Saccharomyces cerevisiae S288C: one gene and its partners. Changing the gene in region 2 together with the main gene of any one other region gives a genetic interaction. Each region holds a gene or a part of one and is shown on either strand. Other genes may lie near its edges. The genes, in order: DSN1, KRE6 and KEG1.

Evidence for each region.
Region 1: of KRE6 (region 2) and DSN1, a mutation in one rescues a mutant of the other (synthetic rescue), as found in Saccharomyces cerevisiae (one study listed by BioGRID).
Region 3: mutations in KRE6 (region 2) and KEG1 are lethal when combined (synthetic lethality), as found in Saccharomyces cerevisiae (one study listed by BioGRID).

What each region holds. Positions count from the first base shown.
Region 1 is NC_001141.2:366,722-378,362, reverse strand, and holds DSN1 (MIND complex subunit DSN1), read right to left. Parts: upstream 2,933-11,641; coding exon 1,202-2,932; downstream 1-1,201. Other genes in the region: STS1 (Sts1p), read left to right, coding at 117-1,076; U2 snRNP complex subunit MSL1, read right to left, coding at 3,503-3,838; DNA primase subunit PRI1, read left to right, coding at 4,057-5,286; EGH1 (hydrolase), read right to left, coding at 5,365-7,659; actin cytoskeleton-regulatory complex protein PAN1, read left to right, coding at 8,455-11,641. UniProt on the Saccharomyces cerevisiae protein: Acts as an essential component of the kinetochore MIND complex, which is required for the spindle checkpoint and kinetochore integrity.
Region 2 is NC_001148.4:851,507-863,147, reverse strand, and holds KRE6 (beta-glucan synthesis-associated protein KRE6), read right to left. Parts: upstream 5,566-11,641; coding exon 3,403-5,565; downstream 1-3,402. Other genes in the region: GPH1 (glycogen phosphorylase), read right to left, coding at 1-1,842; YPR159C-A (uncharacterized protein), read left to right, coding at 2,733-2,834; YPR158C-C (gag protein), read left to right, coding at 6,891-8,213. UniProt on the Saccharomyces cerevisiae protein: Involved in the synthesis of (1->6)- and (1->3)-beta-D-glucan polymers of the yeast cell wall in vivo. It is required for full activity of beta-glucan synthase in vitro.
Region 3 is NC_001138.5:229,560-239,692, reverse strand, and holds KEG1 (Keg1p), read right to left. Parts: upstream 1,236-10,133; coding exon 633-1,235; downstream 1-632. Other genes in the region: IRC6 (Irc6p), read left to right, coding at 1-579; ERJ5 (Erj5p), read left to right, coding at 1,438-2,325; SAP155 (Sap155p), read right to left, coding at 2,443-5,451; OSW7 (Osw7p), read left to right, coding at 6,149-7,681; IRC5 (putative ATPase), read right to left, coding at 7,752-10,133. UniProt on the Saccharomyces cerevisiae protein: Involved in the biosynthesis of (1->6)-beta-D-glucan polymers of the cell wall. Required for viability. Involved in maintaining chromosome stability.

The DNA of each region.
Region 1 (11,641 bases), on a different chromosome or scaffold from region 2:
GGTGATAATGCGGCGAGTGGGAATTTCTTACTTAAAAATATACTTAACCAAGTATTCTCACTTAGTGTGTTCGAAGGTACCTGGCAAAAGCAACAAACACAGGACAGTATAGCATTATGATGGGGTTTGAATGGGGTTTTAAACCCAGCAGTAAAATAACACAGAGTACAGTCAGTTCACAAGGCACAGGCAATGTAATGATTCCAACTGCTGGAGTGAAACAAAAAAGGCGGTATGCCAACGAGGAGCAAGAAGAGGAAGAACTACCTCGTAACAAGAATGTGATGAAATATGGGGGCGTCTCCAAGAGGAGGCCTCAGCCAGGATCGCTCATCAGAGGGCAGCCTCTGCCCTTGCAACGAGGCATGGAACTAATGAACAAGAACCAATTACAGCAGTTGTTGGTGGATTTGATGACAAAACATCCAGAAATACAACAAAGCGTACATACGAGAGTCATCGGATTAGACTTCAGTATACAAAAGTGTCTGGACATGTTGAAACAAAAATCAGAAGCCGTTTACCAGAGCATACCTTACAATAGGTCTTATGAGAGTAATAAATTAGATGACTATGCTTTCGTGAGAATGAAACCTCAAATTCTGGAGTTCTTAAACTGTTTGGTGGATTTCATACTGGATAACATTCCACCACGTTTGGAAAATTTGCACGCATCATTAAAATTCTTAGACATTTGCACGGAATTAGTTATCAAATTGCCCAGATTTGAATTAGCTAGTAATAATTACTACTACGATAAATGCATTGAACAATTGTCTCACGTATGGTGTACGCTTATTGAACATGTTGCCCGTGACAGGATAATTTTATTAGCAGATAATAGCTCCGTCTGGAAAAGTCATATGACAAGATTACAGGTATACAATGAACATTCAAATGGGTTATTGGAACGCCCACTCCAGCTGTTCAAATCTTTAGATATGGGTAGCCCTTCAGCAGCATCGTCATCAACATTATCACTTCAAGAAAGTATTATTTACCACCACGATACCATGACAGCAAACGAAAACAATAACAATAGTGGTAGCGCTGCTACTGATTCGCCCTTTAACTAAGGATAGAATGGTTCTTTTGCTTTTTCAAATACATTAATATGTATATATATGTATATATAAATGTATGACTGTGTAATGTTACATATGCAGAAGTATCCGATTTTTTTTTGATTTTTTCTTTTATTTCATAAATCCAGTTTTTTACTGAAAGATAAACTTAATCCCTTCAACAGCTGTTGAGGATTAATCACTTGTGAGTGGTCATCGTCCGTTTCGCTTGAGATCTTTCTCATTGTTTCTATGTTCAATTTATTCACTTTTGAATTTGTTATTTCGTTTAAGGCTAGTGAGTGCGAGTTTAATATATGCGACTGGTACCTTAGCTCATCGACTTTTGTTTCTAACTTTGTCTCAACATCTGCAATCGCAAGGTCTGGCTCTTCTGTATCCGACAACGGTTCCAGTGGTTGTGATGAGAATGAAGTCAATTCTTGCCATTCAAGATCTGGTCTCGAAGTGTCTAAAGTGACTGCCCATTCTTTCACTTCATTTTTGATCGCGTTCACCTTGCTCGTTAAAATGCTAAGATTCTTTGTGTTTTCCACGTTTTTGCTATTAGGTAATAGTTTTTTTGGTTCTTTCGGTAGGGCTTTTCTCCTTTCACTAAATTTACGTCTAGACCTCTGTATTTCCGAGTAGTCCACCTCATCGTCGTCGTCGTCGTCGTCGTCGTTTTCCTGAAACAGTTGTCGCAGTTCCGTGTCATCGTAGTTTTCAGTATTATCCAGAATCTTCTCCTCATCTTCATCCTCATATTTTTCCTCATCTTCCCAATCTATCGCAATATGATCTTTTTTAAGATCATCGACAAACTCTTTTATTATCACCATAGCCAGACGTTTGGGATCCACATAATCAGTTTCTGCCTTTGTTGATTCGAGCTTGGATTTTTTGGTCAGATGTTCAAGTTCCCCTTCTTCCTCTTGGTTTTTAGCCTTCAACTCCAATTTATGCAGAGATCTCATTAAACACCAGTTGAAAAGCTGTCGTATTTGTAAATTTTTACCAAAAGACGCATTTCCAACCACGGTGTAAAAATCCTCTTCAGGAATATCCTTGTGCGGAGATATAATAGTGCTTCCCCCATTAGCTTGAGATGCTAACATAGACAATCTTCTACCTCTCTGACTTCCGATTGATTTTTTCCTTTCCCTTGTTCGTTGAATGTAGTGTGGTTGCTGAAGTTGTTGTTGATGGAATGATCCGTACGGAAACAATTGCGGAGCTGGCAGCAATTGTTGTGATGAAGATATATTTTGGGGAGTAGTCATATCGGGACCGCCTGCAGCAGTGGGTTGCGAATAAAAGGGCTGTAATGAGGAGTTGGGCATAATCGAATGCATTGGTGATCCAGGATATGGTATCATTGCAGGAGTTGGTGCATTCATCGGATGGTAGTAATAGTAATAAGGCATATATGGAGCGGGCATTGCACTTGCATTAACATTCGCAGTCGCATTTGCAGTCGCATTTGCAGTCGCATTTGCAGTCGCATCTCCACTATGATTGTCGTCAGCAATTGGCGCAGAAGAATTGAAATTCTCCACTCTCTTGGCCTTTTTTATATCTTGCAGGTTATCCAGCCTTTCGCCCAGAGTAGGGAACCCCTGGATATGTTTATTCTTGTGTCGTTTGAATTTCAAATCGGGGCTCAAATTCGACACGGATTGTTTATTCTCAAAATATTCGGTCTCCTCCTCATCTTTCTGGGTGGGCTCGTTGCTTTGTAGAGTAGCCTTGGAGTCGGATTCCAATATTGGGATAGTTTCCATCCGCAATGGGTATACTTGTTTGTGTGTTCTTTGATGCAGCATCGGCGGCGTACCGGAGACCGTTTGTGTGGGTTCCAGACTCATCCTCTACCTAAATAAAGAAAAATTTGTGTGTGGTACAATAGAAGAGGCCCGGTTTCACAACTCTGCCTGGTACTTTGTGCTTTTATCAATTGGCGGTTCTTTTGATGTTTATTTTGATTTGTTTATCATTTGTGAATTTTTGCTTTTACTAGAAATATATATCATTTTAAACGAAGCCACATATAAACGCTGAACTACACTGTAATTCATCATATAGTAAGCTGTCTTATATACTAAATTATCACTTCCAAAATGTAATAAACGTCTTTTGGCAATGGGGTACTCTGTGGTTTGCCCTTTGTATTATTTAAGCAATTGAAGTGAGGAATAAGCGGCCGTTCTGCAGTATGTCTTTTCGGGAGACTCTTTCTGCTACAGATTTTTGTAGATTCTATATCTACTCCATATTGATACATGCCTTGATATTATTTGTCCGTTGACGACCATCTATAACGCCGGGTTGTTTGGATATAAACATTTTGGTTTGGTTCTGCGCTCTTGACTTTGATGTGCCCCTATGGCAGCTCTTCTCGGTATATACGTGCTGCTATGAATAGAGCGTTAAGCCAGTCATAGTGTTTTAGTTTCACTCTTGCTGAACTCAACTTTCAAAGGCTTACCAAAGAATCGCTCGCCGTTTAATGAAATCTGGGCCAGACTGGCCTGGTCGATGGTTCTCATGGTGATAAAGGCTTGGCCCCGCTGTTTCTTGAAATTCATGCTAACCTTCAGTACCTCTCCAAACGTAGCAAAGAGCAAAAAAAGGTTTACTCGCAGTCGTTGCATATTAATTTTTTCATTAAGCTGGCTCACGTACAGCGTATTTTTAGCTTCCGTTACTGGTTCAGCCACAGTGTGATGAGTATCGCGATCAATCCTCTGCTTTTTCCTTGCTGGTTCAACCATTACTATATCCTACGTGTGAATGATGCGTGAGTTTCGAAACAGTTGCTCGGTCAGTGCCCTTTGCCACTTTTACCTATTGTTTTCTTTCAGTTGAAAAGTTTCATAACGCCAAAAAGATAAAAAATTAATCAAAAATACTTTGAAGCTGAAGAGAAAAGCGTGCCATAATACTAGCAAAAATTAGTTTTAGCAACTCAAAAAACTGTTTTATAAACATCATGACCAATTCAGTAAAGACTAATGGGCCAAGCTCCTCAGACATGGAGTACTACTATAAGTCGCTCTATCCATTCAAACACATTTTCAACTGGCTGAATCATTCGCCCAAACCTTCTAGGGATATGATTAACAGAGAATTCGCTATGGCGTTCAGGTCAGGTGCTTACAAAAGGTATAATTCTTTTAACTCTGTGCAAGATTTCAAAGCACAAATAGAAAAAGCCAACCCAGACAGATTTGAAATCGGTGCCATATATAACAAACCGCCAAGAGAACGTGATACTCTATTAAAAAGCGAATTGAAAGCTTTAGAGAAGGAGTTGGTGTTTGATATTGATATGGATGATTACGATGCCTTCAGAACGTGTTGCTCCGGAGCCCAAGTTTGCTCTAAGTGCTGGAAATTTATATCTTTGGCAATGAAAATTACGAACACGGCCCTAAGAGAGGATTTTGGTTATAAGGACTTCATCTGGGTATTTTCAGGTAGACGTGGTGCTCATTGTTGGGTAAGCGACAAACGGGCACGGGCTTTGACGGATGTACAACGAAGAAACGTTTTAGATTATGTCAACGTGATTAGAGACAGAAATACTGACAAGCGATTGGCTTTGAAGAGGCCTTATCACCCTCATCTTGCTCGTTCTTTGGAGCAATTGAAACCTTTCTTTGTCAGCATTATGCTCGAAGAGCAAAATCCTTGGGAAGATGACCAACATGCTATCCAAACTTTATTGCCTGCATTATATGATAAACAATTGATTGATTCATTAAAGAAGTATTGGCTGGACAATCCAAGGAGGTCAAGCAAAGAGAAGTGGAATGATATAGATCAGATAGCTACATCGCTCTTCAAAGGCCCCAAGCAAGACTCTCACATAATTAAGTTACGTGAATGTAAGGAAGATCTCGTATTGATGACTCTTTATCCGAAGCTGGATGTGGAAGTTACAAAGCAAACAATTCATTTGTTAAAGGCCCCTTTTTGTATTCATCCTGCTACGGGGAATGTCTGTGTGCCTATTGATGAATCCTTTGCACCTGAAAAAGCACCTAAGCTAATTGATCTTCAAACAGAAATGGAGAAAAATAATGATGTTTCATTAACAGCTTTACAACCTTTTATCAATCAGTTCCAAGCATATGTGAGTTCTCTTTTGAAAAATGAACTGGGTTCAGTGAAAAGAGAACGTGAAGATGATGATGAACCGGCTTCTTTAGATTTCTGATGGTGAAATCTTTTTGTAACAATAAAAAGGGTGTATATATATATATATGACTACTATAGCTTTTGGTTCAATTTTTGTTTAGCTGATAACGCATTCCGCTGGTAAGTCATTCGAAGTGTCACTTCCAGGGGTGTTGGGCCTTGACTTCGATTTTGCGCAAATTTCAATGAACTGATGGCCAGGCTCGTGAAACCATTCAAGAACCTGGTAGTCAGTGTTATAGGTATAATGACCTGATGATGAACGAATTGACAACCGGCTTGGTGTAAAATGGTGCCGTGGTATAAAAATATATGTAGGGACAGTTATCTGTTCAGGTGTCGTTTTACCAACTAATTTCAAAAGGTAGGATTTATTACATAAGTTAAACTCAGCAAACTCAAATCTTCCGTGAATTTGTATGGGGAATGGTCTCATTATAGCATCAAGAGCTCTGAACCCTGACAAGTCGCTCTTTAAAGTGCACGAGGGACTATCCAAATCTAAATGATTATCTGGTTTTATGAAACTTGGTGGTTGTGAAGAACCCGATTTAGATGTAGAAGTGGATACCGAAGCCACAGTAGAGGCTGGAGATGGCTCAGGAGTAGGAGTTTTTGCTCGGGTATCGTGATAGAGTGGTTTGTCATCCGGGGACCAAATCGAAAAATCTTCATTGTTCCAATTGTCACCCCATATATGTGAATTAATACTGCAATAACACCATAAGGTGTACGAAAGATTACTTCCTTCTAATGCAAATCCAAGAGCATCCAATGCAGCGGTCTGTGAAGAATAGTCATTTGTAATATATGCTTTCTTGTCGTCCATGTCAAATGGAATACCAATTTCGGTGAAGAATACAGGTACTTTTTTTCCAAGCATGGATTTAGCGTCCTTTTGCATTTCTGATAATTGCTTCCTAATGCATTTCCGTATATTGTTTTCGCCAAGCACTACAGCAAAGGCAGGATTTGAGTATTTTTTGTTTACTAGTCCATAGGTGTCTATGCCAATTCGTTTATTCCATGTCTTATACATTAGTGTCATACCATCATAAAAATGACATGCACAAATCGTCCTATTGTCCAATATTTTAGAATTTTGTAAATTGGGTGGTGGCTTCATTACCGGCGGTTGGATTATAATAAACAATTCTTGATCGAATTCCCTAAACTTGTTATAAATTCCAGTGTAATAGTCAACAAAATGATTGTTTATAAATACCGTTGCATCAGGTTGGCTAAAGTAATTTGGTTTGAGTAAAACAGGGCGTTTACCATTCTGAATCTCCCAAACACCATGGAGTTTCCAAATGCAAGTGTCTGGTTTCCATTCAGGGTTCCTTTCCCAATTATACTTCGCATCTATCGCATCTCTTTCCTCTGCACTCAGCCAAGCTTTTTTGCCTTTGGGATTGATTGTGCACGGTTTTCCCTTAGAAAATCCAAAAAATGTCCTTTTATATTGATCTATTGTGCACTCAATACCTTCACCCAGCATAAAGCTTTGAAATGCCGTTGGCGTTTTGCCCAATTTCAAATTTCTCTCTTTCGGAATCACATCGAGATTTGTTTCACCAATGTAACCACAGTTTGGCTCGTTCATAGACTCTAATCCAATAATGCAGTTGCTCTCAAACAACTCAGGAGCCTTTTCTTTAATTCTTGCGCACAGTGTCATGATTGCATCATTAAACCTTCCTTGCAAGTAATCCTGTATGTTTTCTCCATTAATTGTGCACTTAGGAGCATATTGTTTCCCACCAAAGAATAACGTAAACATTGTTTGACACGCCAGTTTGAAGTAGTTTGTAGGCCAAACCATCTTAGGGTAGGACTCTTCATCTTTGCCAACTTCCCTGCCCGTTTTGGGGTCAATATAATAATTATGTAAGATTGCAGCATCGGTGGCCAGGAAGTTTGCAGGTTGAAACCCTGCACAGTATAAGGTCCATAGCGGTGCTCCAGATCCACCGCTAAACCTAGACCAGACGTCTTGGTGAGGGTCCAAATAAATGTACATACCTTGTTGTACGCTGTTAATCCTGGTTAGTACCTCGACGATATAATCCATATAGTCAAAATCGTACTGTCCTGGACCAGCATGTTCAAGAGATTCCCAGGTGAAGGGTAAACGAATGGTATTGTAACCCAGTGATTTCAATCTGATGATATGCTGTTCGATATCATCAAGAACTAAGGGGTGATTGATGAAACTGACTTTATCAGCATCCTCGAAAAACGTGTCATTTTCTATGGGAGCGTGGGTGGATAGGAATGGCTTTGCAGGGATTTTAACTGACGGATCCAAATTGACACCACGCAATTGGATCTCGTTGCCATCTTTATCGCAAAACTGACCGTCTGCAGAAATGTGTATTTTGGCAGGCATATGATCTGTTCTTATTAAATTCAAACAATTTAGGTACGAAAGAAAAAGAAATAAATAAATAAAAAAAGAGAAGAAAGGTTAAGAAAATAACTGTCAGTAGAATTATTGCGAAATATAGAATTAATATTAATTCCATTGTTAAGGTTTACCAGAGATATAGAAACCTTAAACGAAGGCAATATTCGAGCGGATATGAAAAAAATAAAATAAACATACTCCGATACGGGGAGTCGAACCCCGGTCTCCACGGTGAAAGCGTGATGTGATAGCCGTTACACTATATCGGATTATAATCTATATTTTTTCTACTTCGATCTTATGTACTACTAATTTGATAATTTTGGGTTTAATATGGTTTTTTACTGAAGTACCTGCTTACCAACAGTAGAGATATTTAACGAATGCTTTCCTAAGACGCTTTTTATGCTTCAATTGGGCAGATATTAAAAATTCATCAATTAACAATGTTTATTTGACAATCTGGTTCGTCAAAAAAAAAAAAAAAAAATCACGTCCAGATCTGTTAAACCTTAAAGGTAGGTGCTCACGATAACCGATTGATCTCTCAGTCGCATAGTAGCTATGTATACTCTGTTTATCAATCGCTTGTTATTATAAATTGGCTTGATCACATGACACGTCGACGATATTTTTTTCTTGTTAGGGGCAAAAGTTGGTATTGGAAGAAAAAAAGCATTAGAAAGCCATATAGATCTATTGGCGAAACACACGTCGAGAAGCAGGAAGAGGAAGAATCTATCAGCGACGCGAAATTGCTAATCTGTACAACTGAATATGTATAACCCGTACCAGCAACAGGGCATGGGTTACCAGCAGCAACAGCAGCAACAGCAGCAACAACCAAATGGATTCTACCCGCAGCAGCAGCAAGGTCAGTCTTCAAACCAGCCCCAAGGCCAGCCTCAACCACAACAGCAAATGGCGTTTAACCAGCCTCAGGCTACCGGAATTGGTGGGATGCCTCAAAGTTTTGGTAATTCTTTCTCAAGTATGCCACAGCAGCCCCAAACGGGTTACAATAATAATGGAAATAATGGTAGTGTATATGGTAATGGTAATTTTGGCCAACAACCCCAGCAGCAACAACAGCAGGCGAAACCGCAGCATACGGGATACGTACCAAATTCCAGTATGCCTATGATGAATACTACTGGCACCATGCCTCCACCTAATCCGGCTCAACAGCCTCAGCTACAATCCATACAACCCCAAGGAACAGGCTATTACCAAGCTGCTAATACTGCAAATGTACACTCAGTACAACCTTTGCAATCTCAAGGGACAGGATATTATGTGTCTACACCCAATTTGATCTCTTCTAATCAAACCCAGCAGCCCCTTCAGGCCCAGGGCACTGGTTATTATCAATCTCAACCTCAACAGGTGCCACCTCCTCAGCAAGCACAGTCCTTGCAACCTTTGAAGCCGCAGCAAACAGGATTTTACCTTCAACCGCAAAACCAAGCTCCCTTAGAACCATTAAAGCCCACCGCAACTGGCTTTGTCAACTCATTTGCCAACAACGGTCTAAACAATGATATCAAAATCCCTGCCATTAGATTGTCGTTTATTACTGCCCAAGATCAGGCAAAATTTGAGACTCTATTCAGATCAATTGTTACCAATGGTTCGAATACTGTTTCCGGTGCTAATTGTAGGAAAATTTTGATGAGATCCGGTTTGCCACCTTCTCAACTCGCAAGAATTTGGACGCTTTGTGATACATCAAAAGCAGGTGAGTTACTGTTTCCTGAATTTGCATTAGCAATGCATTTGATCAATGATGTCTTACAAGGTGACACTATCCCTTACGAATTGGATTCTAAGACAAAAAACGAAGTTTCAAGTTTTATTGACGCCATTAATTTAAGCATTGCAAACCAGGATTCTTCCGCAAACGATGCCCCAAAAACTCCCTTTGATGAATTCATTACAGCGGGCGTACAAAATTTGCAACCTCAACCAACAGGATATATGCCTCAAACTAGTTTTGGTATCCCATTACAGTCTCAAATTACTGGAGGCGGTGTTGCCTCGGCGTTGAATCCTCAATCCACAGGATTTATGGCACCAACCACTTTCAACATGTCAATGAATACCGGAACTCCCGGATTGAACCCCCAAATTACTGGAGGAGCACCTGCCTCTATGCAACCCAACATTACTGGCAATGCTTTGCAACCTCAGACAACTGGTATGATGCCACAGACAACTGGTATGATGCCACAGACAACTGGTATGATGCCACAGACTTCATTTGGCGTTAATTTAGGACCTCAGTTGACCGGCGGTGCTTTGCAATCTCAGTATACCGGAGGATATGGTTCCGTTATGCCCCAGCAAAGCGGTCCTGCAAGTATGCCCAATTTGTCCTTTAATCAACAAGGATTACAATCTCAGTTAACCGGGTTGCAACCCCAACCAACGGGTTTTCTACCACCATCTAACTTTAGTGCTACCATGCCGTTGACTGCCCAAAAGACAGGATTTGGTAATAACGAAATTTATACCAAATCCAACTTTAATAATAACTTAATTGATAACTCAAGTCAAGACAAAATTTCCACGGAGGAAAAATCTTTGTTTTATAAAATTTTTGAAACTTTTGATACTCAAAACAAAGGTTTGTTAGATTCCCCCACTGCTGTGGAGATTTTTAGAAAATCTGGCTTAAATCGTGCAGATTTGGAGCAAATTTGGAACCTTTGTGATATAAACAACACCGGCCAATTGAATAAACAAGAATTTGCACTAGGTATGCACTTGGTTTACGGTAAATTAAACGGGAAGCCAATCCCCAATGTCCTACCTTCAAGTTTAATTCCCTCCAGCACAAAACTTTTAGACAACTTAAAGAACCAATTAAAGACAGAGCCAACGACCACAAAAGAAAAACCTTCGTTTGGTAAAATCGATGCCTTGAGCTACAAAAATAATGATGATGATGTTTTGCCGAACTATAGAAATCGTAGGAAGGTTTACTCTGCGAAAAATGAAGAGCAATCTTCTTTTTCTTCACCATCTGCTAAATCTGTTAATCATTCTAGCAGCACCCTTCAAACCGATGACATTTCGGTAGATAAGACTGTTGAAAAGAAGACAGCGAAACCAAAATATGCTGGGTTTTCAAGAGAAATAAATCTGAAAAATATTGCTTCACTGGAAAATGAGATCAAAAATATCAGCAATCCTGAAAACTGTTATGACAGTTCTATTCCATCAGATTTGACAAGCCGCTTTGATGCCATCATCGCCAAACTTCCAAACCTATTCAATGAAATTTCTACAATTGATAATGAGATTACCAATGCAAAAATTCAGTTGTATAGAAAAAAAAATCCTTCTTCGATAATTGGATCTGGTCCAAATGGTGAAATAACTGAAAATGATAGGAAGAAAGCTAAGAGTAGGGCTTTGTTGAGAGCAAGGATGTCTGCTCTAACAGGAAAATCAACGGAATCGGAGGATTCACTTTCCATGGAAGATGAACAGCAAAGTGCTGAAATCAAGAGAATCCAGCAGGAAAATGGTAAGAACCAAGAAATCATTAAAGACATAAGGTCATCTATATCAGATATTTCTGCATCCTTGAAGTCTACTATGACAGGATCGAATATGATATCCAATCAAGAATTTGAAAGATGGGAATTTGGCATAGGGTTAGAAGATGGTGTTCGTGAATTTTTGGATGATCTGAAGTCAAATTCAAATAAATCAGTGACTGAGTCATCTCCCTTTGTGCCTTCCTCAACACCAACCCCTGTAGATGACCGTTCCTCGTCGCCTTCTTATTCTCAGTTCAAAACTGCTGAAGAAAGAGCAGCTTATCTGAAAGAACAGGCAAAAAAGAGAATGAAGGAAAAATTAGCTAAATTTGATAAGAATAGGCGAAATGTTACTCAAAGTTCCAGATCGATTAGCAGTGAAAACTCTCGAGAACAGCCACAACAGATTGCTGGTT
Region 2 (11,641 bases):
GATGTCTACTCCATCATTTTCCTTTTTGATTAAATCTACTAATCTGATCTTATTATTAAGCTTGACTTGGTTCCATTTTTTCAAAAACTCCTTATCTTCAACATATTTTCCCAACTGGGTCAGTTTGGCCATGTCCAACAAATACTCCTCTGTTGGATCGTTAAGGGTTTCACTGATCAGTTTAGCCAATGAAGGGTTAGCTTGCTTCAACCATCTCCTTGGTGTGATACCGTTAGTGACATTGACAAACTTTGATGGACCATAGAACTTGACAAAATCTTTAAATATGGTCGTTTTGATTAATTCAGAGTGCAATTCAGCAACACCATTAACCTTGTGTGAACCAACAATAGCCAAAAAGGCCATTCTGATCTGTCTTTCTGGAGAGTTTTCTTCGATGATGGATATACGAGACAAAAGATCAACATCCTTGGGGAATTTTTTGGCCACATCTTGCAAGAAGAACCAGTTGATATCATATATAATTTCCAAATGTCTGGGTAGCAAATGGCCAAAGAGGCCGACGGGCCATTTTTCCAGGGCCTCTTGCATAACAGTGTGGTTAGTATAAGCAAAAGTCTTGGTCACGATGTCCCAAGCCTCGTGCCAATCTAGTTTTTCTAGATCGACCAAAACTCTCTGTAATTCAACGATGGCTAAAGTTGGATGAGTATCATTCAACTGAATAGCCACTTGGTCAGGAAATTCAGTCCATGGCCTCTTGGATTTTTTGAATCTTCTTAAGATGTCGTGTAAGGATGCAGCACACCAGAAGTACTGCTGTTTCAACCTCAACTCCTTACCTTGAGCAAAGTTATCGTTTGGATACAACACAGCGGTTATAGACTCTGCGCGTTGTTGCTGAGCCACAGAGTTTTTATAGTCACCATTATTGAATTTTGCAAAATCAAATTCTGTTGTTGGCCTTGCTTGCCATAGTCTTAAGTTATTTACATTGGAAGTCTTGAAACCCGGAACTGGGAAATCATACGCGACAGCAAGAACTCTTTCCCCACCGATCCATTGTGACGCACTCAGTGTAGTTTTACCGCCTTCTGGTCTATCAACATAACCATAAAAGGTGACAGGAATTTGCACTTCGTTACGTTCAATTTCCCATGGATTACCAGAATTTAACCAGTAATCTGGAGTTTCCACCTGGTAACCGTCAATAATCTTTTGAGCAAAGATACCATACTCATAACGTAGACCATAACCCCAGGCAGGGATGCCTTCCGTTGCCATTGAGTCGACGAAGCAAGCTGCAAGACGACCTAGACCACCATTACCTAAACCTGCGTCCGGTTCTTGGTCCAAGACATCCTCTAACTTGAAACCTAAATCATCCAAAGCCCCTTTAATCATTTCTCTTGGTTTTCCCTTTGAGGCAGCAGGGTCTTCCGGATCTTCAATCTTCATATTAATCAGGGCATTATCCAAAGCCCTACCCATCAAAAACTCCAAAGACAAATAGTAAACTCTCTTTGGGTCTCTTGTGGTGAATTTCTGCTGAGTTTTGTTCCAGTCAATGACCAAATTGTCACGAATACTCATCGAAGCAGCTTCATAAGCAGCCATGTCATCACAATTATATAGGGAACGTGCTAATGTAGTTTCCACATGGTCAATGAATCTATCTTGAAAATCTTCTGCCTTGTTAAATTTTTTGACTTGATGCTTATTCCATAACGCTCTTGACTTTAAAGGAATCATCGTGTCAATTGACTTGATTTCTTGGGGAAGAAACCCCGTAAGTCTCCTTGTAAGCCTTGGGATTTGGTGTGGAGAAGTAGGTTCTTCGGTTATCATATCATTGGTAGTACTAGTACTAGCTGGCGGCATTGTTCAAAATTAAATTAAGTTGAAAGCTGCTTTACTGAAATTGTAATGTAGAGAAGTCAAAAAAGATCCAATTGTTTTTCTTTTGGATATTTTTAGTAATCGTTACCTTCTCAATCTGTGCTTACTTTATATTACAATAGCAAGCAGAAAAAACTTATAATACTTCGTACGTAATCAAAACAAAAGGTACAACAAGAAACGGGAAGGCACAAAGAATCTTGCTTTACTGCTATACAAACTTCATGCTCCTTTTATACATATAATATATTCGTCGGTGTTCCTTCCTTATCTTTGTAGCATGCACATGGTAGTTATTAACCTCCCCTGAAACTTTTTTAGCGAAAATTATCCACCCCTTACTTATTTCCTCGAGAGTCTCTAAAAAGTAAAAATACAATAACGGTAATTGGGGAAGGCGTTCCTTGTTAATTCAAAATGTTATCCTTGAAACATAGAAGGTGCTGGCTGCATCTCGCAGAGCTTCCTCTTCCGTTGAGCGTTGTATTCTTCCCCCCACAGTGCTACTAGGCGATGCCGCTACCCCTTGAAGGGCCTTCCCGCTGTGGGGCAGCGGCCTTTTTTCCTTAGTGGGAAACAAGCACCGGGGTATATTTCATTGTCTATCAGGAGAAGAGATCGTATACAAATGTTCGTGAGACGGTTTCATCTTGACTAGTTGCCTTGCTAGTCGGATAACTAGTGGAAAGCAGTAGGACACTCCCGATGAGTTTGCGTTTCCACGGGGTTTGACAGAGCTACCTATTGTCTTTTTCATCGAAGGAAACGGTAGTTGGACCTTGCCTTGGATAAGTTGGTGAATCATCCAGAGCTTTAGAAGGGAGCAAAAAATAAAATCTGCGCAAGCCCGGAATCGAACCGGGGGCCCAACGATGGCAACGTTGGATTTTACCACTAAACCACTTGCGCTTGTTATTTACATGAGTGTGGTACTTCTATTGATGGTAGGTGTTCCATTACTTTTTTCGTCTTAAGATGAGCGAGCAAACACAGGGAGAAAATAAAGCGCAATTATTTACCTCATAGGGTACACAATATCCGTGAGAAAAGGATGAATTTGAAATAATTATACAGACTCCTTTTTTTTCAACGTAAAATTATAAGCATAGATTAGAGGCGCTCCTGGATAATAATAGGAACACACACAAGTAAATCAGCAATTTCTCATATCGTACTTATTCGGTAGAGTTAATAATATTCTACTAAAATAACTACTGGTAAGTAGTGAGAGCTTGATTTTTGTACTAATAACTTGTTTCAAAAAAAAAAACGAATAATCAGTTTTACAAAAATGTGTATACCTATATAAACAATCTTAGAGGTAAAGTTCTCCCTCACTAAAAATAATAAAAAATTACGTGCAGATGAGAACCCCGTCTTACCTTAGTATACCTTTAGTTCCCTTTATGACCCGATTTGAACGATAAGTCTTTTATATTTTATTTCTTCCTAAAAGAAAAATGTATGCATTGTAAGTAACTTTTTATGACCATGGTAATAATTAAAGCCGAGGGCTTGTAGATTTACCATCAAAATACCCGCTTAAGAGGATAACTTGAACTTCGAGCTAGTACATTTACCAGTTAGGATATTCTTAGGGAACGTGTAACCAGCATCTTCCCAAGTAGTTAAGTTTGCATTCTGGAATGCATTTAAGTGCGATTGAATATAATCATATGTTGGATAGTCACTTGGATCGCATGTCACGGATATAGCATTACTTGGTTGGTATATTCTAACATAGTCAATCGACATAACCACTGGGAAGAAAATATACTGCCAATCAATATAAGCCCAATTGTTGGAAATACCCAGATTTAGAATAATCGACATTGGTTCTTTACTGATTCTTCTCCAACCAATATTACCATCAGGATGTAAGGCTTTAGCATGAATAGTATAAGTTGGAGTATCACCAACAAACCAACGGATATAACCATTGTCGTCATCGTTCAGATACTCAATGGCATATTTTTGAAAGTAGCCACCGTACTCACCGAATTCATACCAAGTTACGTTCAAAGTTGAGACAGCAGATACGGCTTGTTGAAATGGACCGCCAGCATAAGTGTTCATGGTCGTTGTTGTGAAATTGTAAACCTCGATAAAATCATAGTCAGGCATGTACCAGATATCAAAAGGTGCAATTTGCAAGGATTGAGAGGCTATACCTACACCAATCTTAGTATCAGTTTCACCTTCCAAAACATCAATTTCTGGAGCTCCTCTACCAACACCTTGATTCGGATGATCTTCACCATCACAAGTACAAATACTTAACTTTTGTCCCGGCAAGTAAGAAATACCATCCGGGGAACTTTGGTTGGGTGTAATACCAGCATCACACGATTCATAAGAATAAGGCCAGACACCTTGGGTACTAGCCAAATAACCGGGCCTCCCTAAATTACCCATAGTCCAAAGACCGGGCCACAAACCTGAAACACGGCCATAATTTGGTAGATTTGCAGAGATTTCTAGAGCACCCTGCGTGAAACAAACCTTATTCCAACTCTGCAACATACCTGATCTGTAATATAAGCCATGGTTCTTAAAGGCATCCATTCTCAGCTGCAAGGTTCCGTTCACAGTTGTGGAAGCGTCTGGACTGTACCATTCTAAATCCTTAGTAGCATCATAGTGAACATCAGGGGCTGTCCAGTATGGATCATCCCCATCATAAAATGTTCTGCCTTCTGCATTAAACTCATCAGAAAATACTAATTCCCACTTAGAGCCATCCATAGCTTCTCTTGTCTTCGCTGTATCAGGTGTGTCTGGGTCAACCAGAGATGTTCTAATGGCGGATAGTTGAGGATATTGGTATTGAGTTAAATATGTAACTTCTTCAGTGTTGCTTTCGTGATCAATAGCACCGGTAAAGGTCAACGCTGGCAAAACAATAAAAATAAAGATGGCTGCCAGAAACAAGAGCAATACACCAGCTAGCCCACTAGCAGACCTTTTATCCATGTACTTGAAGTCATCTATGAACCTCCTTCTATCCAGTCTTGCCTCTTCTTCGGGGTCAGGATTGTGTAAATAATCATCTTCTTCCTTTTCATCTATCATAAGTGGGAACGATGAAGCAGGATACCCACCAAATGGAGAAAAATCTTGCTCGCCCAAAAACGGATTAGAAGAGAATGAGGCGGACGACTCGTTTCCTGGAGATGATGTTGGCGAGCGACCATGATGGTTCAGTTGAGTCATAGAAGTGACTCTGGAACCCACTAAGGGATATCTATCAAATTCTGGCGGTGAGAGAATATCATTCTTCGATAAATTAGAATTCAAAGAAGGAGAAGAGGCTATAGCTCTATGTGGTGGCTGAAGAAATGAGTTATCATTAGCCGTACTCACAGCTCTACTATTGTTCCTGGAATAGTAACCTTTGTAATCAGATACACCTTTATTTTGACTTAGATCTAGACGAGAATTGTCATGAAGTAGTGAAGAGTCACTCCCCTGTGGCTGATAATGAACAGAAGAAGACAGAGATTCTCCATCCCGCGCATTAGATTCTTCGTCACTCCCCATAAAAGGGTTTGTGAGACCAGCATTATCGTTGGTGCTATTGTCATTTTGTTGTCCAAAAGAAGGAGATGAGGAAAGAGGAGCACCATCATGATCGTCGCCTGTACCATCTGTGTCCAGGTTTGTGCTACTAAAGTTGTGCGTTTCAGTTAGATTTCTCAAAGGCATTAGAGTAAAGGAGTGAGTGGTATACCTATTCTGTAAACTTTAGATGATTTAACGAGAGAAATGTTGTGCAACTACTAACTTGCCTTAGTAGAAAAATTCTAACAACAATATATTTATAGACGATAAAGTAATGAACACTAGTACGAGAGGACGAATACAATAACAATATGCAGCTTTCTCGAGCACTTGCAGCAATACGAAAGCTTTGGACTGAAAATAAAAAAAGAAGAAAACGTTAGTGATTCTTAAGTGCTTCTGTAAGCTAAAAATATTTTAACGGTTGTTGTTTTCGACGTTCCTAGTTAAATTTTATCAGAAGCTGTTTTATTCTGTGTTTTCACCAAAAATAGCGTTAACTTTCATCTGATCAGGAATATGAAAAAAAAAAAAAAACTGTCCAAATAGAGCGTATGTGATCTGAAGTCTAGAATTTACCGCTTCAGGATGATTCTTTGGCGTTTTGCGGGTAAAACGCCTTTCAGATCGCGTCACACTTGCAGGCTGAGAGGAAAAAGAAAAGAGGGGAATGAAAATCACTAAGCCACAAAAACAATAAAGATAATTTTATACGAAATATACATTTTGTATTCCATAATCAAAAATTAAAATGGACGAGTCCGGAATCGAACCGGAGACCTCTCCCATGCTAAGGGAGCGCGCTACCGACTACGCCACACGCCCGAATCTTGTTGTAAATTGTTGTATTACGGGCTCGAGTAATACCGGAGTGTCTTGACAATCCTAATATAAACAGTCTTAGGGAAGTAACCAGTTGTCAAAACAGTTTATCAGATTAATTCACGGAATGTTACTTATCTTATATATTATATAAAATATGAATCATACTAAGTGGTGGAAGCGCGGAATCTCGGATCTAAACTAATTGTTCAGGCATTTATACTTTTGGGTAGTTCAGCTAGGGAAGGACGGGTTTTGTCTCATGTTGTTCGTTTTGTTATAAGGTTGTTTCATATGTGTTTTATGAACGTTCAGGATGACGTATTGTCATACTGACATATCTCATTTTGTGTTGGAATAAAAATCCACTATCGTCTATCAACTAATAGTTATATTATCAATATATTATCATATACGGTGTTAAGATGATGACATAAGTTATGAGAAGCTGTCATCGATGTTAGAGGAAGCTGAAACGCAAGGATTGATAATGTAATAGGATCAATGAATATAAACATATAAAACGGAATGAGGAATAATCGTAATATTAGTATGTAGAAATATAGATTCCATTTTGAGGATTCCTATATCCTCGAGGAGAACTTCTAGTATATTCTGTATACCTAATATTATAGCCTTTATCAACAATGGAATCCCAACAATTATCTAATTATTCACCCATTTCTCATGGTAGCGCCTGTGCTTCGGTTACTTCTAAGGAAGTCCACACAAATCAAGATCCGTTAGACGTTTCAGCTTCCAAAACAGAAGAATGTGAGAAGGCTTCTACTAAGGCTAACTCTCAACAGACAACAACACCTGCTTCATCAGCTGTTCCAGAGAACCCCCATCATGCCTCTCCTCAACCTGCTTCAGTACCACCTCCACAGAATGGGCCGTACCCACAGCAGTGCATGATGACCCAAAACCAAGCCAATCCATCTGGTTGGTCATTTTACGGACACCCATCTATGATTCCGTATACACCTTATCAAATGTCGCCTATGTACTTTCCACCTGGGCCACAATCACAGTTTCCGCAGTATCCATCATCAGTTGGAACGCCTCTGAGCACTCCATCACCTGAGTCAGGTAATACATTTACTGATTCATCCTCAGCAGACTCTGATATGACATCCACTAAAAAATATGTCAGACCACCACCAATGTTAACCTCACCTAATGACTTTCCAAATTGGGTTAAAACATACATCAAATTTTTACAAAACTCGAATCTCGGTGGTATTATTCCGACAGTAAACGGAAAACCCGTACGTCAGATCACTGATGATGAACTCACCTTCTTGTATAACACTTTTCAAATATTTGCTCCCTCTCAATTCCTACCTACCTGGGTCAAAGACATCCTATCCGTTGATTATACGGATATCATGAAAATTCTTTCCAAAAGTATTGAAAAAATGCAATCTGATACCCAAGAGGCAAACGACATTGTGACCCTGGCAAATTTGCAATATAATGGCAGTACACCTGCAGATGCATTTGAAACAAAAGTCACAAACATTATCGACAGACTGAACAATAATGGCATTCATATCAATAACAAGGTCGCATGCCAATTAATTATGAGAGGTCTATCTGGCGAATATAAATTTTTACGCTACACACGTCATCGACATCTAAATATGACAGTCGCTGAACTGTTCTTAGATATCCATGCTATTTATGAAGAACAACAGGGATCGAGAAACAGCAAACCTAATTACAGGAGAAATCTGAGTGATGAGAAGAATGATTCTCGCAGCTATACGAATACAACCAAACCCAAAGTTATAGCTCGGAATCCTCAAAAAACAAATAATTCGAAATCGAAAACAGCCAGGGCTCACAATGTATCCACATCTAATAACTCTCCCAGCACGGACAACGATTCCATCAGTAAATCAACTACTGAACCGATTCAATTGAACAATAAGCACGACCTTCACCTTAGGCCAGGAACTTACTGAATCTACGGTAAATCACACTAATCATTCTGATGATGAACTCCCTGGACACCTCCTTCTCGATTCAGGAGCATCACGAACCCTTATAAGATCTGCTCATCACATACACTCAGCATCATCTAATCCTGACATAAACGTAGTTGATGCTCAAAAAAGAAATATACCAATTAACGCTATTGGTGACCTACAATTTCACTTCCAGGACAACACCAAAACATCAATAAAGGTATTGCACACTCCTAACATAGCCTATGACTTACTCAGTTTGAATGAATTGGCTGCAGTAGATATCACAGCATGCTTTACCAAAAACGTCTTAGAACGATCTGACGGCACTGTACTTGCACCTATCGTACAATATGGAGACTTTTACTGGGTATCTAAAAGGTACTTGCTTCCATCAAATATCTCCGTACCCACCATCAATAATGTCCATACAAGTGAAAGTACACGCAAATATCCTTATCCTTTCATTCATCGAATGCTTGCGCATGCCAATGCACAGACAATTCGATACTCACTTAAAAATAACACCATCACGTATTTTAACGAATCAGATGTCGACTGGTCTAGTGCTATTGACTATCAATGTCCTGATTGTTTAATCGGCAAAAGCACCAAACACAGACATATCAAAGGTTCACGACTAAAATACCAAAATTCATACGAACCCTTTCAATACCTACATACTGACATATTTGGTCCAGTTCACAACCTACCAAAAAGTGCACCATCCTATTTCATCTCATTTACTGATGAGACAACAAAATTCCGTTGGGTTTATCCATTGCACGACCGTCGCGAGGACTCTATCCTCGATGTATTTACCACGATACTAGCTTTCATTAAAAACCAATTTCAGGCCAGTGTCTTGGTTATACAAATGGACCGTGGTTCTGAGTATACTAACAGAACTCTCCATAAATTCCTTGAAAAAAATGGTATAACTCCATGCTATACAACCACAGCGGATTCCCGAGCACATGGAGTCGCTGAACGGCTCAACCGTACCTTATTAGATGACTGCCGTACTCAACTGCAATGTAGTGGTTTACCGAACCATTTATGGTTCTCTGCAATCGAATTTTCTACTATTGTGAGAAATTCACTAGCTTCACCTAAAAGCAAAAAATCTGCAAGCCAACATGCTGGCTTGGCAGGACTTGATATCAGTACTTTGTTACCTTTCGGTCAACCTGTTATCGTCAATGATCACAACCCTAACTCCAAAATACATCCTCGTGGCATCCCAGGTTACGCTCTACATCCGTCTCGAAACTCTTATGGATATATCATCTATCTTCCATCCTTAAAGAAGACAGTAGATACAACTAACTATGTTATTCTTCAGGGCAAGGAATCCAGATTAGATCAATTCAATTACGACGCACTCACTTTCGATGAAGACTTAAACCGTTTAACTGCTTCATATCATTCGTTCATTGCGTCAAATGAGATCCAAGAATCCAATGATCTTAACATAGAATCTGACCATGACTTCCAATCTGACATTGAACTACATCCTGAGCAACCGAGAAATGTCCTTTCAAAAGCTGTGAGTCCAACCGATTCCACACCTCCGTCAACTCATACTGAAGATTCAAAACCTATATCTGAAATCAATCTTCGTGCACCCAGAGAAGTTGACCCCAACATATCTGAATCTAATATTCTTCCATCAAAGAAGAGATCTAGCACCCCCCAAATTTCCAATATCGAGAGTACCGGTTCGGGTGGTATGCATAAATTAAATGTTCCTTTACTTGCTCCCATGTCCCAATCTAACACACATGAGTCGTCGCACGCCAGTAAATCTAAAGATTTCAGACACTCAGACTCGTACAGTAACAATGAGACTAATCATACAAACGTACCAATATCCAGTACGGGTGGTACCAACAACAAAACTGTTCCGCAGATAAGCGACCAGGAGACTGAGAAAAGGATTATACACCGTTCACCTTCAATCGATGCTTCTCCACCGGAAAATAATTCATCGCACAATATTGTTCCTATCAAAACGCCAACTACTGTTTCTGAACAGAATACCGAGGAATCTATTATCGCTGATCTCCCACTTCCCGATCCGCCTCCAGAACCTCCTACCGAATTATCAGACTCCTTTAAAGAACTTCCACCGATCAATTCTCGTCAAACTAATTCCAGTTTGGGTGGTATTGGTGACTCTAATGCCTATACTACTATCAACAGTAAGAAAAGATCATTAGAAGATAATGAAACTGAAATTAAGGTATCACGAGACACATGGAATACTAAGAATATGCGTAGTTTAGAACCTCCGAGATCGAAGAAACGAATTCACCTGATTGCAGCTGTAAAAGCAGTAAAATCAATCAAACCAATACGAACAACCTTACGATACGATGAGGCAATCACCTATAATAAAGATATTAAAGAAAAAGAAAAATATATCGAAGCATACCACAAAGAAGTCAACCAACTGTTGAAGATGAAAACTTGGGACACTGACAGATATTATGACAGAAAAGAAATAGACCCCAAAAGAGTAATAAATTCAATGTTTATCTTCAACAAGAAACGTGACGGAACTCATAAAGCTAGATTTGTTGCAAGAGGTGACATTCAGCATCCTGATACGTACGATACAGGTATGCAATCCAACACTGTACATCATTATGCGTTGATGACATCCCTGTCACTTGCATTAGACAATAACTACTATATTACACAATTAGACATATCTTCGGCATATTTGTATGCAGACATCAAAGAAGAATTATACATAAGACCTCCACCACATTTAGGAATGAATGATAAGTTGATACGTTTGAAGAAATCACATTATGGATTGAAACAAAGTGGAGCGAACTGGTACGAAACTATCAAATCATACCTGATAAAACAGTGTGGTATGGAAGAAGTTCGTGGATGGTCATGCGTATTTAAGAATAGTCAAGTAACAATTTGCTTATTCGTTGATGATATGATATTGTTCAGCAAAGACTTAAATGCAAATAAGAAAATCATAACAACACTCAAGAAACAATACGATACAAAGATAATAAATCTGGGTGAAAGTGATAACGAAATTCAGTACGACATACTTGGCTTAGAAATCAAATATCAAAGAGGTAAATACATGAAATTAGGTATGGAAAACTCATTAACTGAGAAAATACCCAAATTAAACGTACCTTTGAATCCAAAAGGAAGAAAACTTAGCGCTCCAGGTCAACCAGGTCTTTATATAGACCAGGATGAACTAGAAATAGATGAAGATGAATACAAAGAGAAGGTACATGAAATGCAAAAGTTGATTGGTCTAGCTTCATATGTTGGATATAAATTTAGATTTGACTTACTATACTACATCAACACACTTGCTCAACATATACTATTCCCCTCTAGGCAAGTTTTAGACATGACATATGAGTTGATACAATTCATGT
Region 3 (10,133 bases), on a different chromosome or scaffold from region 2:
GAAAATAGATACTATAAAGTCCATTTTGATCTTTATATTGACTCTTGCAAAGAGATACCAGTATGGGTGGAAGAATTTATAACGCCTGAATGTGAACCGCTTAGAAATGTCATGGCAGGAATTATCTTAATAACGGACATCCGGCAAACAAAACCTCAAGAACTGCTGCACCAATTCATGATAGCTGCCCATCGAAATACTTTTGTTGTGTTGGCCAATGTGAACGAAGAAGTCGAGCAAGATGAAATTGATGAACTGAATGAGATATGGAGCAATGCCTTTACAAACGTCATCGAATTCGTAAACTGGAAAAGGTCAAAACCAACTGTTAATCATAACGACTATGGAGAAAAATTGGGGCTTGATAGGATCCAGGAGATTATAGATACCCACGACTGGTTAAATTGTGAAGTTCAACCGGCTACTAAAATAAGGGAGGAAATTCCTAATGAAATGCCCCTCGAACAAATAATTAGGAATTTGCAAAGTGCAAGGCTAAAATATAAGTCTATCGAGAATAGTAGTGAAGCTGATGCTTTTGCAAATGAAATGGCTGACGAACTATCCAGATATTTATGAGTATGTACAGATATGTATATGTGTATACATATGTATTAAACCAATAAGATTGCTCATTTTGTTAATAGTTTTTTGTATGCTGTTAGTAGTACAGGGAAGTATGCTAGTAAAACCACCCTGTTGATTATGTCCAAAGTCGGGGTAGAATGATAGTTCTTAACCTGGATATTTAATAGTAGCAATGCAAATTCACTCAGGTAGAGAATTGGCAATGTAACAAATGTGTTAACCTTCCATACAAGTGTTCTTTCCTTTACGCCCTTACGTTTAAAAAGTTTGCACCAATGGCAATATGCCTGTGATAAAGATAAGGAAATAATGAAACTAGAATATGATGCATTCTTGAGGATCAATGCATGCTCATAATCGTCATAAAAATGGATCACGCTGACTAAATAGATAAAATTTAGGTCTTTCAAAAACGTTCTTGAAAGCAAACCATATTTGAACCCGTGGAATCTAAGCAACCAAATAACTTCCATGATGCTGGAATAAAACATCAAATATATCAAGAATTCGTGGATTCCTCCCGGTAAAAACCGAGACCCTACCAGTGGCATTAATATCAGCCACCGTATCAATAATGCAGCATACAAAAAGCTTGTGGCTAATTGATAATACTGATAAAGCTTATGCGTCAACTTGATACCTGCCATCCTCAATGCTAGTTAAATATATGTGACCGAACAAATACTTTTATTGACGTTGTATTTACATTATTTCCCAATTTGAAGGTAAATCATATTTAATTTCCATATTCAAAATTAATAATCACGAAAAAAATGAGATTTTCAAAATAACACGTACCAAAAGAATAGAAAACGAACAAAAAATCAAGGTTACAAGATCACTAAAAGAATGAACGGTTACTGGAAACCTGCGTTGGTTGTCCTGGGATTGGTATCTCTATCATATGCTTTTACCACCATTGAAACAGAAATTTTCCAATTACAAAATGAAATAAGTACGAAATATGGCCCAGATATGAACTTCTACAAGTTCTTGAAGTTACCTAAACTGCAGAATTCTAGTACAAAGGAGATTACAAAAAACTTAAGAAAGCTATCCAAGAAGTACCATCCGGATAAGAACCCTAAATACCGTAAATTGTATGAAAGGTTAAACCTCGCTACTCAAATTCTTTCAAACAGCTCTAATCGTAAGATTTATGATTATTATCTACAGAATGGCTTTCCAAACTATGATTTCCATAAGGGTGGTTTTTATTTTTCCAGAATGAAGCCTAAGACTTGGTTCCTGCTGGCCTTTATTTGGATAGTCGTTAATATTGGGCAGTATATCATTTCTATTATTCAATATCGTTCTCAAAGATCAAGAATTGAAAACTTCATCAGTCAGTGTAAACAACAGGATGATACCAATGGACTAGGCGTAAAACAACTAACGTTTAAACAACATGAAAAGGATGAGGGTAAAAGTTTGGTTGTAAGGTTTAGCGATGTCTATGTTGTAGAGCCTGATGGAAGTGAAACACTAATTTCGCCAGATACCTTGGATAAACCTTCAGTAAAGAACTGTTTGTTTTGGAGAATACCTGCTTCGGTTTGGAACATGACGTTTGGCAAATCTGTTGGTAGCGCAGGAAAAGAAGAAATAATAACGGATAGTAAAAAGTATGATGGTAACCAAACAAAAAAGGGGAACAAAGTAAAAAAGGGTTCTGCAAAGAAAGGCCAAAAGAAAATGGAATTGCCTAACGGTAAAGTGATCTATTCACGTAAATGATACGTAAGAAGTAATATTATCATGATGAATGAATGAATGAATAGAAAACTACATGGTACTTATACATATAAATTAATATATATATATACAAATTAAAGAAAAGTACAAAACAATGTATCATTCATGATCATAATCATTATCATTATCAGCATCTTCATTATAATTACGAGTATTATCATTGTCATTATCATTATTATCGTTATTATCGTTGTTATTACTATTATTACTATTATGGTTGGTATTGTTAATGTTACTATTACTGTTCTTGTCCTCCGGCGGCCCCAGTATGAAAACCCCATTTTCCGTGTTCTTATTATCAACGTCTTCTTGAGCCCTATTGATTAACATTTCCCTTAACTTGTTGTGTAAATCAGATTCTGTAGATAAGGACAACTGTTCTTCTAGAGACTCAACATTGATTAATTGGCCGCCACCACTTGTTCCATTACTACTCCCGGTATCTGAATCAAGGATTTCATTATTATTACTTGCATCACCATTTGGAGTTAATACAGTAGTATTGTCAGGCAGCTGCGGAATGATGTTACCATTTCCATCATCAATATAACTTCCACCGCCAAGAATTTTAGAGTACATCATTCTTGTTTCGTTTAAGACTTCTTCGGAGTAGTATTGCCATTCTTCGGTTTGTAAAATTACTTGAATATCGGGAGATATTAGTTCCACTTTGTACAATTTAGAAAATTTGACCACTTCTTCGGCAATCAAGACAATATGGCCCATATATCCCAAATTCATTTTCCTTAGCTCATAAAATTTATATGAATCCTGGTAGCCCCTTAATATGAAGTCTGTAGTTATTTTGAAATCAAAATTTGGGTCTCTAATAACGGGAGAAAATCGGGAAACATCCGTTCCTTTTTCATCTGATATGACGATATCAGTCATAAATTGATAGGAGCTCTTTAAGTTAAACAGAGACAAAACAAGGAAGGAATTATAGGAAAAATCCATTCTTCCATTGAAGATTTGCTGAATTATGTCGAATATAACATTATGCCAAAAATTGTTCCAAGGATGTGTTAAGAATAGTTCCATTATTTTGGAAACAATTCGCGTATCATATAGTTTGATTTTGAATAGGTCCCCGACCGTGGGGTCGGTCCTAAGTTTTATGTTTTGCTTCATATTGATGTATGGAATTTCGAAGCTCTCGTCTATTTCGTCGCCATAGTCACTTTCATCATCATTATCATTATTGTCGTTATCTATTTTACCGTTGTTATTTTTTAGGTCGTGATCAGTGTCACGTGTTGGAGAGTGCTTCGTTTTAAGTTGCTCCTTTTCTTCGATACTCAGATCGTTTAATGCATCTTGTAAATGATGGGATAACTGGCTCCTTACTTTATCTCTTCTTCTGGCTATTCTTTCTGCCCTTTTGGAATTCATTAATCCCATATTAGAGCAATGCAGTAACTCGGCGATTAATTCCACCACTTTGAATCTTTCAAATCCTAAAGGTTTAAATTTTTCGTGCAACTGATTTTCATGTAATGGGATGTTGGCGTCATTTTCAATATCTAGAATGATTTGGAAAAAATCGGACAAATGGTTTGAAAATTTCCGAAGTAGATAGCCTAAATATATTGGATCTCTATTTGAAGGTGGATGAGTCTTTATAGTAGTGGTTAAAAGATTAACTTGATCGTAGTCTGAATTGTTTTTCCTTATCAGCTCAATGACAATCGAAACTGTGGTATTTAATGCGGCACCTCTTTGGTTGATCATGATATCGACTAGCTTTGCAATGGATTCGGGAGATGCTAGCTGTCTCGTCAAGGAGTTTGGACCAATGGAAATATCATCCAAGGGTGCATTAGCAGAAATGGCAATCAGAGCCTTTAAGAAATCACCCACGCATGCTTGGATGTCAGCTGGGGACTCTTTGTTATTTAGAAAGCTTAAGCATTTGCTGATCAAGTTTTGATCATATACTAATTCAATTATTCCCGTGGGTGATTCAATCTTATCTGTGGATATTATTTTCAAGAAAAAATCCATCAATAGGGAAATATCAACATGCTTTAACATATCATCAACAAAGCTTCTCTCCGTTCGAATAAAATTTAAATATTGATCCTGCCTGGTTAACAACAGATTTTGGTTAATCTTTAAGAATATGGGTACCAAGGGAGAGTTTTCAGAATTGAAATTTGGCTGGTTGATGATAGACCAAATCTTGTTTAAGTATGATTGGTTTTTAACTAATGACTCGCTAATCAACCATATGTCTAAGGAAAAGATTTCAGATATTATGGTGGCCTTTGTCAAATAAGCAGATTCATCGTCCTCATTCGCATCGTCGTCGTCGTCATTGTTGTTGATATCATCGTTACCAAACGAGGAGCTTCCGCGTTTTCGTCTCTTCTTGTTATTGCTGTTATTATCGTCCTCTTTCTCCTCTTCTTGCTCCGTATCAGATTCCACATAAACGTCCTCTTGTGAGCTATCATCAAGCTGTTGCTGTTCTTGATAATCTATCAGGTTATTCAAATCCACTGTGGTGGCGGTTTTAATCTTCGAGATACATTCCATCAGTTGGTCGACCAGATATTCCATATTATTCACTTTCTTATTAGTTTTCTTATCAAAGAAAAATCCAAAGCAAATGAAGTCAAGTAGCGTCTTGTTTTGTCTCGATAATTCGTTCAGTAGCTCTGTCTCTACAAGCATTCTTTCAATAAAAGAGTTATCCAAATTCTTTGTGGTGACCATCATGGGAGCAGTAGCATTGCTGATATCCTCCTCATCTAAATCAGTTTTAGAAGTTGACCCAGAAGAAAAAGATGTAGTGGAAGATTCGCTAGAGTTCATGCTCCGTTCCTCTTCCTCTTTCTCATACCGTTCTTGCTGATCATCCTTCTCAAATCGACTCTTCTGATCTCCACGTGCCGTTTTCACTTCATCACCATGACTATACTCCTCCGGAATAGAATCTAGGGAGTCACTTGTACCTCGTTCCTGAACGTTGTTGAAAATAGCGGGAATGGCTTTACCAACGCTTGGGTTAATCCTTTCCAGTTCGTGTAGCACATGAAAATATTCATCTAGGATCTTATTAATATTAGAGTGATTAAGATTCTGTCCAAATGGCCAAAACGACATCTTTACTCTGGCTTGTTGTTTTCGTCTTTTTTTTCTTTTCTTTTGTAAAAACTGCTGCTCCAAAAATCAATAGAATGGGAACGGCAGAGACTATAGTCTAGGGAAGTAACGCTTGTGTCTTAATCGTGTTGAAATAAAATCAAAATGAAATAAAATCAAAATAATAAAAAAAGAGGAGGAAAAAAGGGGATAGTCACTCAAACCCACTATCTAGCTTTAGTCTCTCAGTCTTTTAACCGCTACTTGGAGAAAAAATACTGAATCCAATGGTCAAATAAGGCCTTTCTTCTAGTTGCTTTGGAGCGTATGATACCACGATACTGTTGGTTTTGGTTCTAATTGGCCACTTAAAATTATTTTTCTTTCTTTTTTTCTAGAGGAAGGGATAACCCTACTAAGACCTATTCTATAATTACCAGCCCTATAGTTGTCTTTCATTTTTTAGATAAATGCCCTCTTTAAAAATTAAATTAACCCTACTCATTTTGTTGTCATTTCGGCCCTTTTAAGCCACAATACAGGTATCATTTAACAGGAATTACATAATAGTACTTTAGAAGAGACTTGTATGGCATCGAGGCTTCCTTTTTGACTATTGGAAGATAGCATTTTTTTGGGTGTTGCTACTATCATATTTCTGTTACTGATTGACCTTTTCTTAACTAAGAAAAAGGTGGTTAGTTCTTTACTAAAAATCATGAAGGCCGTTTTCAAAGTAACGACTGCTTTGCTGGCTTGCGTGTTTATTGCAAGGTATCTGGTCTGTCAGCAAAATGGTCTGGGAAGCTTTGCCACAGATTTACAGCCCATTTGCCGGCATACTGAATTTTCAGTTGGCTCACTATTCGATTCTAAATTGGTTGAAGGTTCAGCGGTTTCTGACTATTTAGTTGGAAAGTACTCACAATCGATAAAACCACTGATTGAAAGATACCCCAACTCATCCTTGAAGAGAATTATGGGATATTTTTACCGCTTTTGGTACAATATTTTCTCTTTTCTAAGGCTAAATGAGCTCTGCTGTTCGCTACATTCCAAGTTGGGACCTTTATTAAATCATCTAAGGATTGCCTGGTACTATTTAAAGCCATATACAGACAATGTGAAGAATGTACTAGAGAATCCATTTAACTCCTCTACGGATTGGATGAAATACGGCTCCTTTAGCGCTGATGGCACGCTCACCAAACCCATTTTTGAGACAGACTCGGAAACAGAGGATTATGAGGATGATGAGAATGAAAATGAGGATGAGGATGAAGATGAGGATGAGGATGATGTCGGAATTGAGGATGAAAATAAAGAATACGAGTTCGATGGAGTACAGGATGGCCACGGGAACTCACAACTCGTCACTGCTGCTATTTTGCAGGATTTGTCAAAGATTATCATTGGTTCCAATAGCCATGCAGAATTGGAAACTTACGAGGCAGAATCATTAAAAATGGAATATGAAGCATGGATTAAGGCTATAGATTCGAAAATACACAGTGCGATGGCACTTTTGGATTCAGAGATACAGTCTGTGTTCGAGGCCGAGGTGCAAAATAAATCTATAGAAATCACTAGGAATCTTGATGACCTTAACACTACCGTTAATGAGCAATTAGTGTTTCTAGATTCAAAAATCAAAGATATTAATTGTACCTCTAAATTCGATCCTGTGCAAAATAAAATAAAGTATTTTGATGAATCGGGTCAAGTTGAACTGGAAGCTTACATTACCAAATCATCTATCACATCGATACTGAAGAATTATAAAATACATTTGTTAGACTTTGAAAAATCACTGTTTCATTCATTAGATTCTTTTCTTACCGAAATGGCTAAACTGGCAGAATCGATTCGTCTTGAAAACGTCGAAGTGTACGAAGAGTGGGGCGATGTAATGATAAGTCAATGGTCGCAAAGAATGGCATATATGGACGTCAGAGGTCTCCATTTGGAAGATCAATACGATCCTGCCTATATAGAAGAGAATCATTCCAACTGGCTCCGTTTCATGGAATTGAAAAAGAAAGTTATTTCTGAGAGGAACCGTCTGGTAAAACATGATCTGGATATGACTTTGATACTGGAATGGATTACTAAACTAAAAGCTGATTTCCAGAACACAAAAAATAATATTCAAGATACCTTTCTGCAACGAATGAATACTGCGGATACTTTATTCAAAAACCGTGAACTAAAGGAACAACTAGAGGAAGAATTTGTACGGCAAGAACATTGATCAATATATAGGTATGTATATGTACATATATACAAACATTTAATAAAAACAATATTGTATGATAACCAAGTTAAAGACCGGAGGTTGTTTCAAATAGCTTGACGTGCGGCAGATCTACGACTCTGTTGGCCTTGTACGCTTCAAGAGATCTGTTGGTCAATTCTTCAACCTCCTTATCAGTCAGTTGGCCCTCAGTAGCCTTATTTTCTTTCTGTCCCCCATTTTCAAAGCCTATATTGGATTCATCGCTCATTAAAAGCATAGATAACTCCTGGACTAAGTCCTTATTAGTGACATTAACACCCGCTTTGTTTGCCTTCAAAAAAGAACCTTCATTTAACGCCAATTTTTTCAGGTTATTGAATTTTCCCATCTGGATAACCATTCTTTCCAAATTTCGCTTATTGGCCGCTCTGGTCAATATAACATGTTCAATGGTGTTATCACAACACAACCTATATACTATAACCGGTGATTCTTGGCCAATACGGTGACACCTGTCCATGGCTTGTAAATCCACCTGTGGATTCCAATCACTATCAAACAAGACAACTGTATCTGCCCCGACTAGATTAATACCCAGTCCTGCCGCCCTTGTGGACAATAGGAAAATGTTATGCTTATCTTTCGAGCTATTAAACTTCTCGAGTTGATCCTTTCTTGTTTCATTGTTTACTGAACCATCAATTCGAAATGTCGCGAACGAATTTAAATCACACCAATCTTCGATCAAATCGAGCATGTTAACAAACTGAGAATAAATAAGCACTTTGTGCCCCTCAGATATTAATGGGGGGATTAATTTTTGTAAGATTTGTAATTTCCCAGACGTCTTTAAAAGAGTTTCCAAAGTCAAGTCTTCTGGGTGTAAATATGGGAAATAAAACAAAAAAGTTGAGTCAATGATTTGTCTCAATTGCATCATCATATTTTGCAATTTCTTATTTGAAATTTCCATTTGCAGGTTCTTCTTATATAGTTTGTCCATTTGCAACAAGGTTGGATTGATTTTATTGTCTGTATTTGAAGTTTCATTACCAGATAGTTTATAATTGATGAAATCTCGTATGGACCGATTAGAAACGTGGCCGATGTATTCATCGTTCAATGTGAAAAAATCCTTGATTAATTCTTTGAACATGGTTTTTTTCAACTTTCCATTCAATCCAGCCTTATAGAATTTTTCCTGTGCAGACGTCATCGGACAATTTATGATATATTCTCTCTTTGGCGGCAGAATATTAGCCAAAACAACTTTTTTCAATCTTCTCAAAAGGAATGGTTTCAGAATTGTGTGTAAATTGGAAATCAAATTTTTCTGTAGTTCATCGTTGATTAACTTATTCAATGCTTCAGAGTTGGAACCGGAGCCTAAATTTAAGCTGTCGAAGTCAAACCATTTATTGAATATCTCGAAATCGGCAAAGATATCGGGCATTATGAAATTCAAAAGTGACCATAATTCAGCTAGGTTATTTTGTAAAGGCGTCCCTGTTAGTAGCAGTCTATTGGAAGTATTGATTTTTTTTAACTCTTTAATCAATCTACAGTTTATATTTTTCAGACGGTGGCCTTCATCAACAATTAAAAATTTCCAATTTTGACTCATGATTAAGTCGGTATCTCTTAAAATAATTTCATATGATGTGATGACGATCCCCGTGCCGCCGTGTTGTTTAAAGAAATTTTTCAACTTGGCAGAACGTTCCTTATAACCATTGGTCCCATAATATTTTAGAACTGGTAGATCAGGAGCGAATTTTGCAAATTCGTTCATCCAATTATCTAGGGTGCTTAATGGTGCAGTCACTAGAAAAGGACCCTTTGTGTCCATTTCATATATGAACGCCAAAAGAGCAATACTTTGAACAGTCTTACCAAGACCCATTTCATCGGCAAGAATTCCGTTCAGGCCATTTTCATAAAGAGTGATCAGCCAGTTAAGACCTTCTAGTTGGTAAGGTTTTAAAATACAGTTTTTCAATAGGCGAGGTTGCTTTATTGCTGCATCGTCTGGTGCGCCGTTTTGGGTGGTTGTATCTTCGTTCTTTTTCTGTTTTTTGAAGAAATCTGTTATTGATTTTTTTTTTGTTTTACGTTTTTTTGAAGAATGTTCTTCATCATCAGAGTTGCTGTTATCTTTTGTATTAGCGTTAGCCACTTCATTAGATCGATGTAGTAAAGTATCGGCGATTATACTGGAATATACCTGACTCTGCCTCACAAACTCGTTTAGTTTCTTAAGTTTTAAAGAAACCGTCTTGGTATCCATCTCGGAGAGCTCATCATCCAAGGATTTTTGCTCTGATTTCGTGTCTTTTGCCAATTTATCCACCACTTGGGCTTGAACAGCTTCTGTATCGGAATCGTCCTCTGAGTCCAGCTGAATATCTTCGTCTGAATGCACATCATCTTGTAACCATATGGGGGCAGTGTCATTGTCGCCTTTGCC